Linked DNA regions of Arabidopsis thaliana. The protein of the gene in region 2 purifies or fractionates together with the protein of the main gene of each other region. This does not show direct contact. Each region holds a gene or a part of one and is shown on either strand. Other genes may lie near its edges.

The links.
Region 1: the proteins of AT1G10490 (region 2) and RFC2 fractionate together in Arabidopsis thaliana (co-fractionation; one large-scale study listed by BioGRID). This does not show direct contact.

What each region holds. Positions count from the first base shown.
Region 1 is NC_003070.9:23,421,039-23,425,591, forward strand, and holds RFC2 (replication factor C 2), read right to left. Parts: upstream 2,877-4,553; 5' UTR 2,734-2,876; coding exon 2,572-2,733; intron 2,298-2,571; coding exon 2,191-2,297; intron 2,100-2,190; coding exon 1,998-2,099; intron 1,901-1,997; coding exon 1,705-1,900; intron 1,615-1,704; coding exon 1,486-1,614; intron 1,406-1,485; coding exon 1,211-1,405; intron 1,141-1,210; coding exon 1,030-1,140; 3' UTR 796-1,029; downstream 1-795. Other genes in the region: AT1G63150 (Tetratricopeptide repeat (TPR)-like superfamily protein), read left to right, coding at 1-250; AT1G63170 (Zinc finger, C3HC4 type (RING finger) family protein), read left to right, coding at 4,536-4,553. UniProt on the Arabidopsis thaliana protein: May be involved in DNA replication and thus regulate cell proliferation.
Region 2 is NC_003070.9:3,451,584-3,459,450, reverse strand, and holds the start of AT1G10490 (GNAT acetyltransferase (DUF699)), read right to left. Parts: upstream 6,261-7,867; 5' UTR 6,187-6,260; intron 5,892-6,186; 5' UTR 5,863-5,891; coding exon 5,758-5,862; intron 5,670-5,757; coding exon 5,578-5,669; intron 5,339-5,577; coding exon 5,167-5,338; intron 5,086-5,166; coding exon 4,963-5,085; intron 4,884-4,962; coding exon 4,710-4,883; intron 4,598-4,709; coding exon 4,487-4,597; intron 4,408-4,486; coding exon 4,274-4,407; intron 4,189-4,273; coding exon 4,095-4,188; intron 3,897-4,094; coding exon 3,798-3,896; intron 3,714-3,797; coding exon 3,577-3,713; intron 3,455-3,576; coding exon 3,357-3,454; intron 2,869-3,356; coding exon 2,745-2,868; intron 2,651-2,744; coding exon 2,563-2,650; intron 2,483-2,562; coding exon 2,383-2,482; intron 2,304-2,382; coding exon 2,251-2,303; intron 2,028-2,250; coding exon 1,851-2,027; intron 1,768-1,850; coding exon 1,730-1,767; intron 1,663-1,729; coding exon 1,569-1,662; intron 1,492-1,568; and 12 more. UniProt on the Arabidopsis thaliana protein: RNA cytidine acetyltransferase with specificity toward both 18S rRNA and tRNAs. Catalyzes the formation of N(4)-acetylcytidine (ac4C) in 18S rRNA. Required for early nucleolar cleavages of precursor rRNA at sites A0, A1 and A2 during 18S rRNA synthesis.

The DNA.
Region 1 (4,553 bases), about 20 Mb from region 2:
TAAACGCCTACTACAGGAAGCAGATGACCTGTTCAGAAAAATGAAAGAAGATGGTACTCTTCCAAATAGTGGTACATATAATACGCTTATCAGAGCAAACCTTAGAGATTGTGACAGAGCCGCATCAGCAGAACTCATCAAAGAAATGAGGAGTTCTGGGTTTGTTGGAGATGCTTCAACCATTAGCTTGGTGACAAATATGTTGCATGATGGGAGATTGGACAAAAGCTTTCTCAATATGCTTTCTTAAAACAGTTTGTCCTCGAGGTAGGAGGAGTCTGAGGTGAATCATGTTGCTTTACTCTGATATTTTTCGCAACAGAGTCCTTATGTTACATGGTGTGTATTTAGTTGTTATCGTGTCTGTAAGCTTCATGAAGATGACTCTGATACGTTGTTTTGTGTATTTCAATGTTAGGTTAACACACACGAGCTACAGAAGAAGATTTCAGACGTGTCATCATTATGGTTACTGTAGTAGATTTGGTTTTTAACCAAACGTATTTTATAGTTTTGGTTCAATAAATATAACTTTATTTCGTTTCTTGTTCCCAGTTCTTTTTTCTTTTTTTTGGTCACAAGTGTGTTTATTCATAATATAAAGTCAATGTAACAGACCAAGAGTTTACACCATTTCACAATGTCATGCCTTACTCATATAGTGTTATCGAATTACACAAATAGGTTCAACATTTTACCTACAAAAATTACGATTCATCTCTCGCACTTGCGTAGACTATATAGAGTGGTTGTAATGTGTAAAATAATCTGTGTATTGTTTTTTTCATTTATGTGATTTAAACAAATAGCATGGTATTATATAAAAAAATGTGTTGGTATACCAAACTGGTTAGGATTAAGCTTAATATTCAGAAACATTCACAAGCAATTCAAATCTAGAAAACAGAGCAATACAGCATGGAAGTTCCAACATCTATCCGAATTCTCAAACAACGAGATTTAACCAACTTGGTTTAAACATAGACCGGCCACCAGTTCATCACTAGAGATGAGTGGAAGTTACCTAACTTAAGGTGCTTTCGCTGTTTCACGAACAATGGATAACTTAGCCAGAAGACCACATAGCTGAAGATAAGATCCAACTCCATCACAGATTCTCATATGCGCAAATCCAGTTTCCTGAAGAAAAGCATTGGTGTTAGACGAAAGTTTGGATGTTTTGAGCTGTCAAGGAGAATCAGATGTATACCTTCATGAACTCAAGTTTCAGATACTCAGCCATATCGTAATTCTTTATTATACGGAAAAGCGTTGTGATAATGTCGGTTGGAGAGTAGCCCAAATCATAGAGCTGCTTTAAGCCGTCACAGGCGATGTCAAACTTACTTTCCAACACATTGCGAACAATGTTCTTGACATGAAGCGGGTGAGGCTGGTCACAGACCTAAGTGAAGAGATCTTTGATTGATGATATGAAACCAATGTGTTTTATAAGCCAAAGTGAATTAAGGTTTTGTTTCAAACCTTGAAGACGTTTTCTTGGTTGACAAACGAAAACCCGCTGAATGTGGCTTGCAAGTTGTTCAGAGCTTGCCTCATGTCACCATCAGCTGTAAAGATTATCGCCTCAAGGCCTTCAGGCACATACGGAACCTTGAGAGATTGAAAACATAAGCAATTAGAAAATTTTCAAAATTGCAGTAAGTAAACATGTCGAATGAAAGAAAAGTGGCAAATCCGTACTTTCTCTGCTGCAACCACCACCAAGAGACGGCCTAGTATCTGCTGATCAGATAATCTAGAGAATCGAACTAAGGCACATCTACTCTGAATGGGCTCAATAATCTTGGCTGATGTATTACAAGCAAGTGCAAACCGCGTAGAGTTCGAATAGATTTCAATCGTTCTCCTCAATGCTTGTTGTGCTCCAGATGTCATACTAGTTTTTTAGAAACCGAAAACAGAAAGTCAGAAAAAAAAACACTTAACTGGAACAATTCAACTTGAGAAGGAATACTCAAGTAAAAGTCACTAACCTGTCAGCTTCATCTAGGATAACAACCTTATGACGCCCTGGAGGAAGTGTTACTTTCTTCTGCGCAAACATCTTAATTTTGTTCCTTACAACATCAATACCCCTACAAACATAACAGAACATTGAAGATGTCTAACCAAACAACGATTGAAGATAGAACAACATCCCATAGGTAAAAGATTGGCATCACATACCTATCATCAGATGCATTCAACTCCAGAACAGCCTCCTTGTAATTCGTGCCAAGGAGCTCATGAGCAAGAGCCAAAATGCTTGTGGTTTTACCTGTTCCAGGAGGACCCTAAGGATATACAACCAAACAACACAAAATCATATATCAAATCTCCACAAGTAATACTAAACACAGAGATTTTCTAAAAATCAAACCTTCATTAACTTTGGCAGACAATAGAAATTGATTAAAAACCCTCAAAATCTAAGCTTTATCATGAAATCTACACAGTAAACAAACCCAAAATGCCCTAATTGATCAAGTTTTCATCAAACCTAAAACTTTTTAGCAAATTCGAGGAGGGTTTAAATCAAAGAGTGTCAACAGAAGAGTAAAATCTTACGGAAAGGATAAGATTAGGCATGTTGCCGTCGCGAGCAATGACTTGAAGTCTGGAGACGGCGTCTTCGTTTCCAACGATATCGACTACTTTGCTCGGCCTGTATTTCTCCACCCATGGTTCATTGTATCCGTCACCGGTAGAGGTTGATGAAGAAGACGCCATTATCAGTCGGAAGAGAAGGAATCTCCGACCGGTGAGATTTGGAGGGTTTTCTGGTTTGGAGGGAAAATTGCTGGAGGATCCGATTAAGGGTTTTACTTTTATACAATCATTTCATTAAAGGGCCTATAAAAAGAAAACATCCGAATTCTGTACCCAAAGTATATTAATTTCACTATATAGCCCCGCCTTTTAAAACTCGTTGTTACATTTATGCCCAGTTCGGTTCGATAAATTTAAAATTGGTCTATTTTATTATAAATAGATGGGAAAAAAAACCAAAACAAACCTCAATTAATTTTTATTTGGACGTTTAATACTCAATTGTTTTTGGTTGGAAAGTAAATACACGAAATAATAAAATCATACAATTTAATACACAAATAATTAATTGTTGTTATTTTCATACTCACGATCTCACAACAAAAATAAAATTCCAATTTTACTCTTACCATCTCAATTAACTATTATTTTTTGATAATATAATATTAATTATATAATTTTAAATAAAAATTAATTTTATTAACATTTTAGTTTATGGTCTCTAAAATTTAAATTTTCATTTTTATTATTATTATATTATTCTAAAATTTAACATAAAAATTATAGAAAATCAAAAATATTTTAAAATAGTCATTATTACAATCTTCTTCTATCGTTGCAATATCAAAGAATCGTTTTCTCTTTAAGGAAATTTAGAATCAAAGATTAATCTAATTCGTTGAGATTTGGGTTGAGGTTAGCTATTTTGCTACTAAAAACAAAATTAGCCATTTTTATGAATTGATAAATCTTGAGAAATACGATGAGATTCGGGTTGAGATTTTGTCGAAAATAGTTTGATTCTTGAAGGATATACAATCGAAAAGAGAGTTTCTCACTACGAAGAATATTTACCGGCCATTTTAAAATATTTTTAATTTTCTATAATTTTTATGTTAAATTTTAGAATAATATAATAATAATAAAAATTAGAGACCATAAACTAAAATGTTAATAAAATTATTTTTTATTCAAAATTATAAAATTTAATATTATATTATAAAAAAATTAATAATTAATTGAGATGGTAAGGGTAAAATTGGAATTTTATTTTTGTTGTGAGATCGTGAGTATGAAAATAACAACAATTACTTGTTTGTGTATTAAATTGCACGGTTTTATTACTTCGTGTATTTACCTTCCAACCAAAAACAATTGGGTATTAAACGTCCAAATAAAAATTAGTTGAGTTTTTTTTTGGGTTTGTTCCCTAAATAGATGTCGTATAAACTATAATTTTTTCGATTAAAAATTTTCAATTTGGATTTGAGTTTAATTTAGATTTATTCCGGTTTTCGATTAAAAATTATGCTTAAAATTTTTCGAATTTTTGTTAATTTTTTACTCAGTTGGACAAAAGAATAAATTTCGGTTTAATATGGTTTGGTTCAGTTTCTTACCCACCCTTAATTTGAATCAAGTTAGTGTAAGTTTACCATATAGCCACTGAAAAAACTGAATATTACATATATGTCCCCTAATTTCTCTGGTTGTCATTTGAGGAGACATTAAATTCATTACAATTTTGATTTTTTATATTCATTTTTCAAACATCACGTTTCCCGATTTGTCCGACTCATCATCTTCTTTCTCTTTCTGTCTCTCTCTCTCTCTGTTCGAATCGAAACCCTAACAAATCCGAAATTGTCTCTGAGATTGAAATTGCCCCAATTTAATGGCGTAAAGCTTCACCAATTTCATCAATTCGATATCAATTTTTGAAATTTCGAAGAAAGGAAGAAACTTTGAAAAGAGAAAGCAAAATGTCAAGAGAGACGACG
Region 2 (7,867 bases):
ATTTTCAAAAATGAGGGAATATTATGACTGAGCAAAAGAACATGGAAATGTTATGTAAGTTTTCCCATCTGAACTTACATCTTTCAACCGAGGTAAGGTGGATTCGAGCTCTTTTGTTGCGATTCCATTCAAATATTTGTATAACTTCTTTCCAACCTTCAATAGAAGAGAGTATATTTGGCCCCTCTCCAACTGCATTTGTCTCTGTAAGTCAACGTCATGATCCAATTTAGAACAACCAGATGTGTCAAGAAATTTATCTCCACATGTGTGGTGAAACATAATTCAGCTGGTCCAGATCATCGATTTATTTTAAAGAGTAGATATGTTATACCTCGATGCTCGAGAAATCTGACTCCTGCAAGCCCAAACACAGGAGTACAGAAGCTTGAACATACGACAGCGAGACTGGGAGCTTCTCTTGAAAATAATGATGAGCTAGAGTTTTGCAGATGTCATAAACCTTTGAAAAGATAACAAAGTAAAAATAGTTACCAAACCAAACGAAAAGACAGAGTATCAAGCTTGAACATGCGGTTAGTATTATTTGTCTGAGTCTGTACCAGAATCTTATGATTGTGTAGTTATTTAAGCAGATTACATATCTGACTATAGTACATATTTCCCTAAAATAAGTGACTCTCAGAGAGTGAATCTAACCAGATTGAAGTCAACGAGATTGGCAGTGTATGCTCTGAATCTCTCCATATCATAAGGTGAAAGAACTCCGTCGAGTTTCTTCAAAAATCCATCTGGTGAATTTCCAGTCAAATCAACCTCTGGGAAGTTGATCTTAGGGTTCAAAACACTAACAAAATTGTGAAACGAGTATATTATCAACACAATAATACCGCACCAAGAAAAGTCTAATCATCTTAAAATAGTATTGCAGAAAAAGTCTAAATTTGCATGGGGAGAGAATATGATTAGTGCTAACCTCATTGCAAGTTTATAATCCATCTTCTTGAATTTATCACTCAACAGTTTAGAGAACCTTATCCTGAAATCTGAACAGAGTAGAAGAATTTGCCAAAACATTAAAACAAAACCTGTCATCCTTAAAAGCTACAGAAACATTTGATTCCTGTTAAGAATTTACAAACCTTTATAGAAGGGAGCAAAGAAGCCCAGTTCATCCGACTCATCAACTTCGAATTCATCGTTGCTTAAGGTTAATGGTTTCAGAAGCATACATGTGTGCTCACCAGTCACAGCACTCTGATCCAACCATATTTTAGAAATTGTGTTATGAACTGCTAGACAACACTAGAATTAGTAATTCAGGAGAAGAGGGAAAGAGGGATTCTCAACTGGTATTTGACTGATGTAGAATGGAGCAAATTTATGTTTTCTCCAGAAACGGAAGAGGTCCAAAGTAAGCCCAAAAGAGACACCGATGTAGTGGAGTCTCTCAGGTCGTCGATCACGAAGAGGAACCAGCAAAGGTGGAAGATTGGCACGAGGCTTTATCTGTTCCTCAAGCAAAGAAACCTAAGGGAAAAAATTCAAGTAAGAACTAGAATGCATGATGCAAAACCCTACAAGGGTAGATTAAAATAATCAAGAACCTTTGCAGCAGCCTCGGTAACTCTGACTGGTGAAGGCTCCACTTCCAGTTCATCATCACCTTCTGATATTGAAGCTAGCTGACCCTCAAAGTATCTGCACGTATCAATCAATTAAAATATTTGCATGTATTAATCATCTAAGTCGTAATCATTGCATTTACCTGGTCAAGAGTTCAACCGCAGCAGACCCATATCCCATCTACATAGAATGTAATCAAGAATTTGTTAAATCTCACAAGAAACCTACAAGACTAAAAAAATGAGGCGACTAAGAAACTTTACCTTCATAGCGTTGGGGTGGACTGCTATGCGTACTATACGAGCACCAGAAAGCTTTGGAAAGACCACGTCCCGGAACTGTTCACAGAACTTCCATGGTATTTGATCTCCATGTGGTGAATGACCTTCTCTTAAACTTTTTTCAGCTGATTTCCGAGATATCTGTCCTTCGAGACAGACCTGCATAAATATCAATTTCAAGGATACTTAAGACCAGTTACATCCAGAATCAATCACATACGAACGACAAGATATGAGATTCATGATTTTACAAAACAAAATTGCTGCAAACAAACAATTCAAGCAGACTGATAGCTGCTTTTATTCTTTGTTTAGTCCAACTAACTGTTTTTCTCCAAACAAACAATTTCAAAGAGCAGAGCAGAAAGTAAGAAATCGATACCTGAATAACACACAGTATGTCAGGAAGCTGGTTTTTGGACTCATCAACAGGACCTGTGCCAAAAAGAAAATAAGGCAATACTCTAAATCTGATGATTATCTCTAGCTATGAAAAGGAGGAACAATTGCATACCGAGCAACACAAACAAATGATGAGCAGGAGCATCCGACAAAAGTTGAAGATCATTAGGAGAATTCTTGTAGTGAGAAGAGACACAAAGTGCCATCATTCGCTGTAGAATACCACTTAATGCCTTATTAACAAAATATAGGTAGCAAAAAGTACGTAGGTTGTAAAATCAACTATTATTACCTGTAAAAACAACTCACTGTCCTTGTGATAAGAAAATAAGGTGTCTCGGTTGACATAATAAAGATCACACTGACTTGGCAGAGGATGGCTACAAATGCAAGAAAAATAGAAATCATTTTCTAGATCACTAGTTGGCAAGAAAGGATGGCAACATTCTATTTATATGAAGTGAAATACCATACCAAGCAGGATTTGGAAGACAATTAGCAACATCAAGGCATAGTAATCCATTAAGCCAGGATTCAATTGGATCTCCAGAAGCGTATCTTATAGACTCACTAAGTTCTATTTTCTTGAAAAGGCAACCTGAATCCAAAGAAAATTCAGACAGTCACGGAGTTCCCCAAGATAACGAATCACATCAACTAGATAGTGTAGGAAAAAGAGGATATCTAATACTACATACTAAGATATGAAAGTAGTAGGCCCTGCGTGAGAGAACATTAGTTCTAATGAATATGAACACCCATCAGACAGAGGACTACTCTGCATGAAGTTTCAATCAACCTTCGGAGGCCCTTAAGGCCAAACTTAACAACAAAACCTACGTTCTTGGAAAAAATCATTCACATATATTCCTCAAACTTAGGAATTGGAGCAATGGTTTACTTCAAAAACATAAATTTCTTTCTTATGAAAATGCTAGCTGATAAGCCCCGACGCAAAGGCATTGGAGCGATATTTTAAAAAAGATGAACTTCTATATTCTTAATAATAATATTGGGATCTCTACAAAAAAAAAATATCCAGGTTGCCACATGCCAAAAGTGAAAGCAAGATGTAGTAGTAAATACCAGAAAGAGAGCCTTCAACACCAGTGACAGGGGCTCGGCTTTGCTCTTCTAACTGTTGGAGGAGTTTCAGGGACAAAGATCTACCAGTACCTTCATAGCTTTGGCAAAGAAGGTAAAACAAACAAAAATCAGCAGCCTGACTGACCCTATATATAATCAAGCCATGCATATATCTTTCAATATCATGGGAATATAAGCATTTTACTCCTGTTTCACATACCCACTGACAGTAGATGATAAGAAAACTAGGTAAGGGCCAAGTAGAGACTTCACAACTGGCAAAGGAATAGCTGCCGCTTCATCAATAACCAACAGCTCCACTTGTGAGAGCTTTTCATGTTCATGCGGTTGTATATACTGCATGAAAAAAGAAGAAGAATAAAGCAATTTATCGATCGACACAAACTACGGCTTCTTACAAAAATTCAGGGTTGGACAGACCTGGATAGTTTGCCTGTGCTGCTTGAAGATATTGATCCGTACGATGGCTTTATTAAATTCAGGATTCACACTTCTCACGACATCATATTCAAGATGTTCCTTCAAATATATAGTTGAAGATAGAGTTCAGAAAATTATATGGTAATCCTGAATTAACATGCAAAACAAAGTAACATTTTTCTTCTTCCAGGAGATAGTGCAGATTTCAAATCTATGACAACCCCAACAAAATGGAAGAAGTCCAGCAGTTTCTAGAAAATTGCTTCATATGTGTGATGCAGAAGAAGCTCATATTACCTTATATTCAAGTGCATCGAAACCTTTGCAAACAAACTCGAAGACTGTTTTCAAGTTATCTGGGCTCGGTGCTGTTACGTAAATATTAGAGTACCTAACAGAAAATACGATATAGAATTAATAAGACAATAAATACTATTAACAAACATGAATAAAAGCTCAAAATAACTCAAGCCTACCCAGCAGCAACAGCCCCAGCAACAGCTAGACCAAGTGCAGCAGATTTTCCACGCCCACGACTAGCAATCAGAGCAACTATGCTACGGAGGGTCTTATCCAATATTGCATCGAAAAATGTGACAACAGCTTTACCCTACAAAAGAGAAAATTCAATACTGATCCAATGTGCAACACTTCTTAATCCAATGTGCACAGCTGACTAAACCACATACCTGATCCAATGTACAACACTTATTAATTAAAGGACCAACAGGAAAATCATCGTTTAGTGCATCTTTCAAACTCTTCAGGTCTCGTTCTGCCTCAGAAAGCGCTTCCGAATCCTTTTATTACAAACACATAAAATTGAAAAGTTAAAGATGCTAACTGGTATGATGGAAGACAATCTCTCTAAACAACCCATGAAAAGAAGTGTGAATTTGCTATAGAAATTACCTCCTTTGTTGGAACTTTTGTGATAGATTTGATATGAGATGAAAGTGGCAATAAATTCAACTCATCATCCATGACAACGCATGCTTTGCAAGATGCTAGTGACAACAGAAATCGTTCATTGAAACGTCCGGAAGCTTCAGAGTGTGACTCGGTTCGAAATCTATCATGCACATCCTGATATGAACAGAACCAATCATGTAACTCCAAATAAGTAGTTAGCAAACAACATAACTAGCAAAATCAGTCTTCATACCATAACCATGGTGCAGAGACTAGTAAGTGAAGCAAGCGATTGTAATAATAATACAACTAGCCCACCCCCTTCGACTGTCTCTATTGTTCTTGCTAGTAGATTTGGAGTTAGAGCTTCAAAATCCTGAACATAGTAAGAATAGGATGCAAATATGAGTAAGCTGCAGCAAAAGTAAATGTTTCTTCAGCCATTAATCAAGAGTACCTGTAAGATGCAGATGCCAAAAGTATTCCCAAGAATTCTTTCAGAATCTTTGTACAAGCAATGAGTAACATCCACCACATCAAGAAAAAGAGAGAAAGCGTCGAGTTTTTCAGGATCTAATTGTCCTCTCTCCTTCATCTTCTTCAACTGCTTAGCACGTTTTTTATTGTGACTGCACACAAAACCAATTACACCCACTCTTTTTCAGGACCAAGTTATCAACAAATAGAACTCCACAAATATGCGTAACATAGCTCACAAAACCAGGTTCCATCATTCTCTTGGCATGGAAAATTCAAAAGAAACTCACACCTAATTATTAACTAGGCTTCAATTAAGTTTTTAATAACAAAATTTCAACGCTTCAACTTTTGCAAATATCTAATATTTGAATCGGTTGATAAATCAAACCTGCTAATGTCGAGTCTATTCTTGTAGCACCATAGCACACTTGGGTTAGACTTGACCACCGATTTTGACAAAATGTGATGAAGATTAACTATCTGTTACATAACAGAATCAGAAAAGTATTAGACTTGAAATCCGAGGAAAATGCAAAGTAGAAATTATCTATAACAAGAAGAATTTTACCTGGTCACGAGCCTTATCACCAATAATGACAAACATGGAACGGTGTCTAAGTTTAACACCGTTTTCAATCAGAGTCCTTATACGTTCGTCTACCTTCTTCCTCATTCTCACACCAGTTATTGGTTTTGCCTAACCTTAATTAAGCCGAAATCAAAAATTCAATCAAACACAGGTTTTAGCTTAATGTAGAGTAAAAAGGCAGGAACTTGTTTGAAAATATCTAATGGAACATCTCAATTCGAATAAAGTTTCAAGCTTTATAGGGTAACCAATGAAGCAAAAGTCTCAAAGTTGAGAATAAACGGAGAAAAATCAAGCAAAAGAAACACAAAACCGGCTTCGATTCCTGTACTTACTCGCACTGATTACAATTCCTAACTGTAAAATTAATTCTTTCGTCGGAAGTAATGTTTGTGACAGAGAACGAACCTGAGGATGGTGAGTGAAGCGAGAAGAGAGGTAAAAGAAGCAGCTTGATGTGTGTGTGTGTGTACCAAAGCAGAGAAGCGCGCCCTAAGTCAACCATCGGTCAAAACCTTAAAACCCTAAAATTCAATAACCGACCGGTTTGTTTCTTCTTCACATTTCCCGGTTTGTAGGTATAAGACGGGTTTCTTCTCCATTAATTTTTAGCGGTTACATAAAACCGAATTGAAAAGCAAAGAAAAACTCAATAACAAGATCAACGGTGAATGATATTAAACAACAACAAGAAAACAAGATCAACGGTGAAATATGTTTCATATCCTAAAACGTCATAAGTTACTGGAAGTGATAAAAGAATGGGTTCCTGCACACGACGTGAATCGAATATTTACTATTGTGCAAATAATGATGCACGCAAATAGCCAACTATGCATTAAATTAAGAAAAACGAAGATTTTTACTTGTCTCTTAGTACACGTTTTATAATCACAGTTTCTGGAAGAAGGGTCTCTGATCGGTGTTCTACCAAATTAATTGTCTAGATCAACTGATTCATTTAAAATCAATTTAAATTTCAAAAACTTACATCTAACGCCAATGTTTTAATTATTAGATCAAGAATCATTCAAACTATTAAAGTAACCGATAATCCTTGTCCTTTTTTTTTACGTAGAACATGTTATTGTCATTTTATAAGATACTAATATAACTTAGTCTTTACCTGATATAATAATGTATGTATTGCGTTATGTATAGTTTTATTGACGGTCAAATATAACGTTTCACAATGACCAATCAATAGTTTTTGATAAATAAACTTGCTTTTAAGAAAGCAATAATGTCAATAATAAAAGTTATAATGGAGGCATATATATGATATTTACTAAATTATAATCCATAATTGAAAGAAGAATGGGTGGTACAGATGGCGAAGTCTTGTTCAACAAATGCTTTAATCAATTTAGATCAACAAGCTAACCTTACCTGGCTTGGATCTATCTTTGTCTCCCACAACATTATATAACATTATCTCTTCTTTAAACAAAAATAAATCATTTCAAAACTGATAATTAGTGGTTTATTGTTTTAAGTAGTAAGCAGTCTATCCTCCATTATGATTACATTTCACATGCCATGATAAAATGTTGCATGCATGTATGATAATAACTAAACACATTTAGGTGGCCACTTAGATTTATTTTATTTTTAGTTAGGGAAAATTATCGGTTTTCGAAGCCATATTGACAAGTGTTAAATATGGCATACTAGAACACAATGCGTGACAGAGTCCTCCATTCTGTGATTATAGCCTTCACTTCTTCCGTCAAAAACCTAGAATTTTCAGAATAGTAAAGGAAAAAAGAGATATGTAGGTTGATTTCATATTTTTATATGTCGTAAATGTACAAATTTATCTGTCATTACGTAAATTCCAACTCGGTCATACGCTCGTGTATGATTTACTCATACGTAATGCAAGGAACGATGTTTCAAACTTAACAAAAACATATTTACCAAAATTAGGAAACATACGAATTGGACAATAAAGGAATAATACCTTTTAAAAACATTTTTTTTTTTAATTAAATGGGATAAGCATCCAATACACACATAAGCAAATGGAGTTCCGTTGGTGTCGGAAGTGACATGTGTAGACAAAAATTAAAGGGACCTCCAACACTGG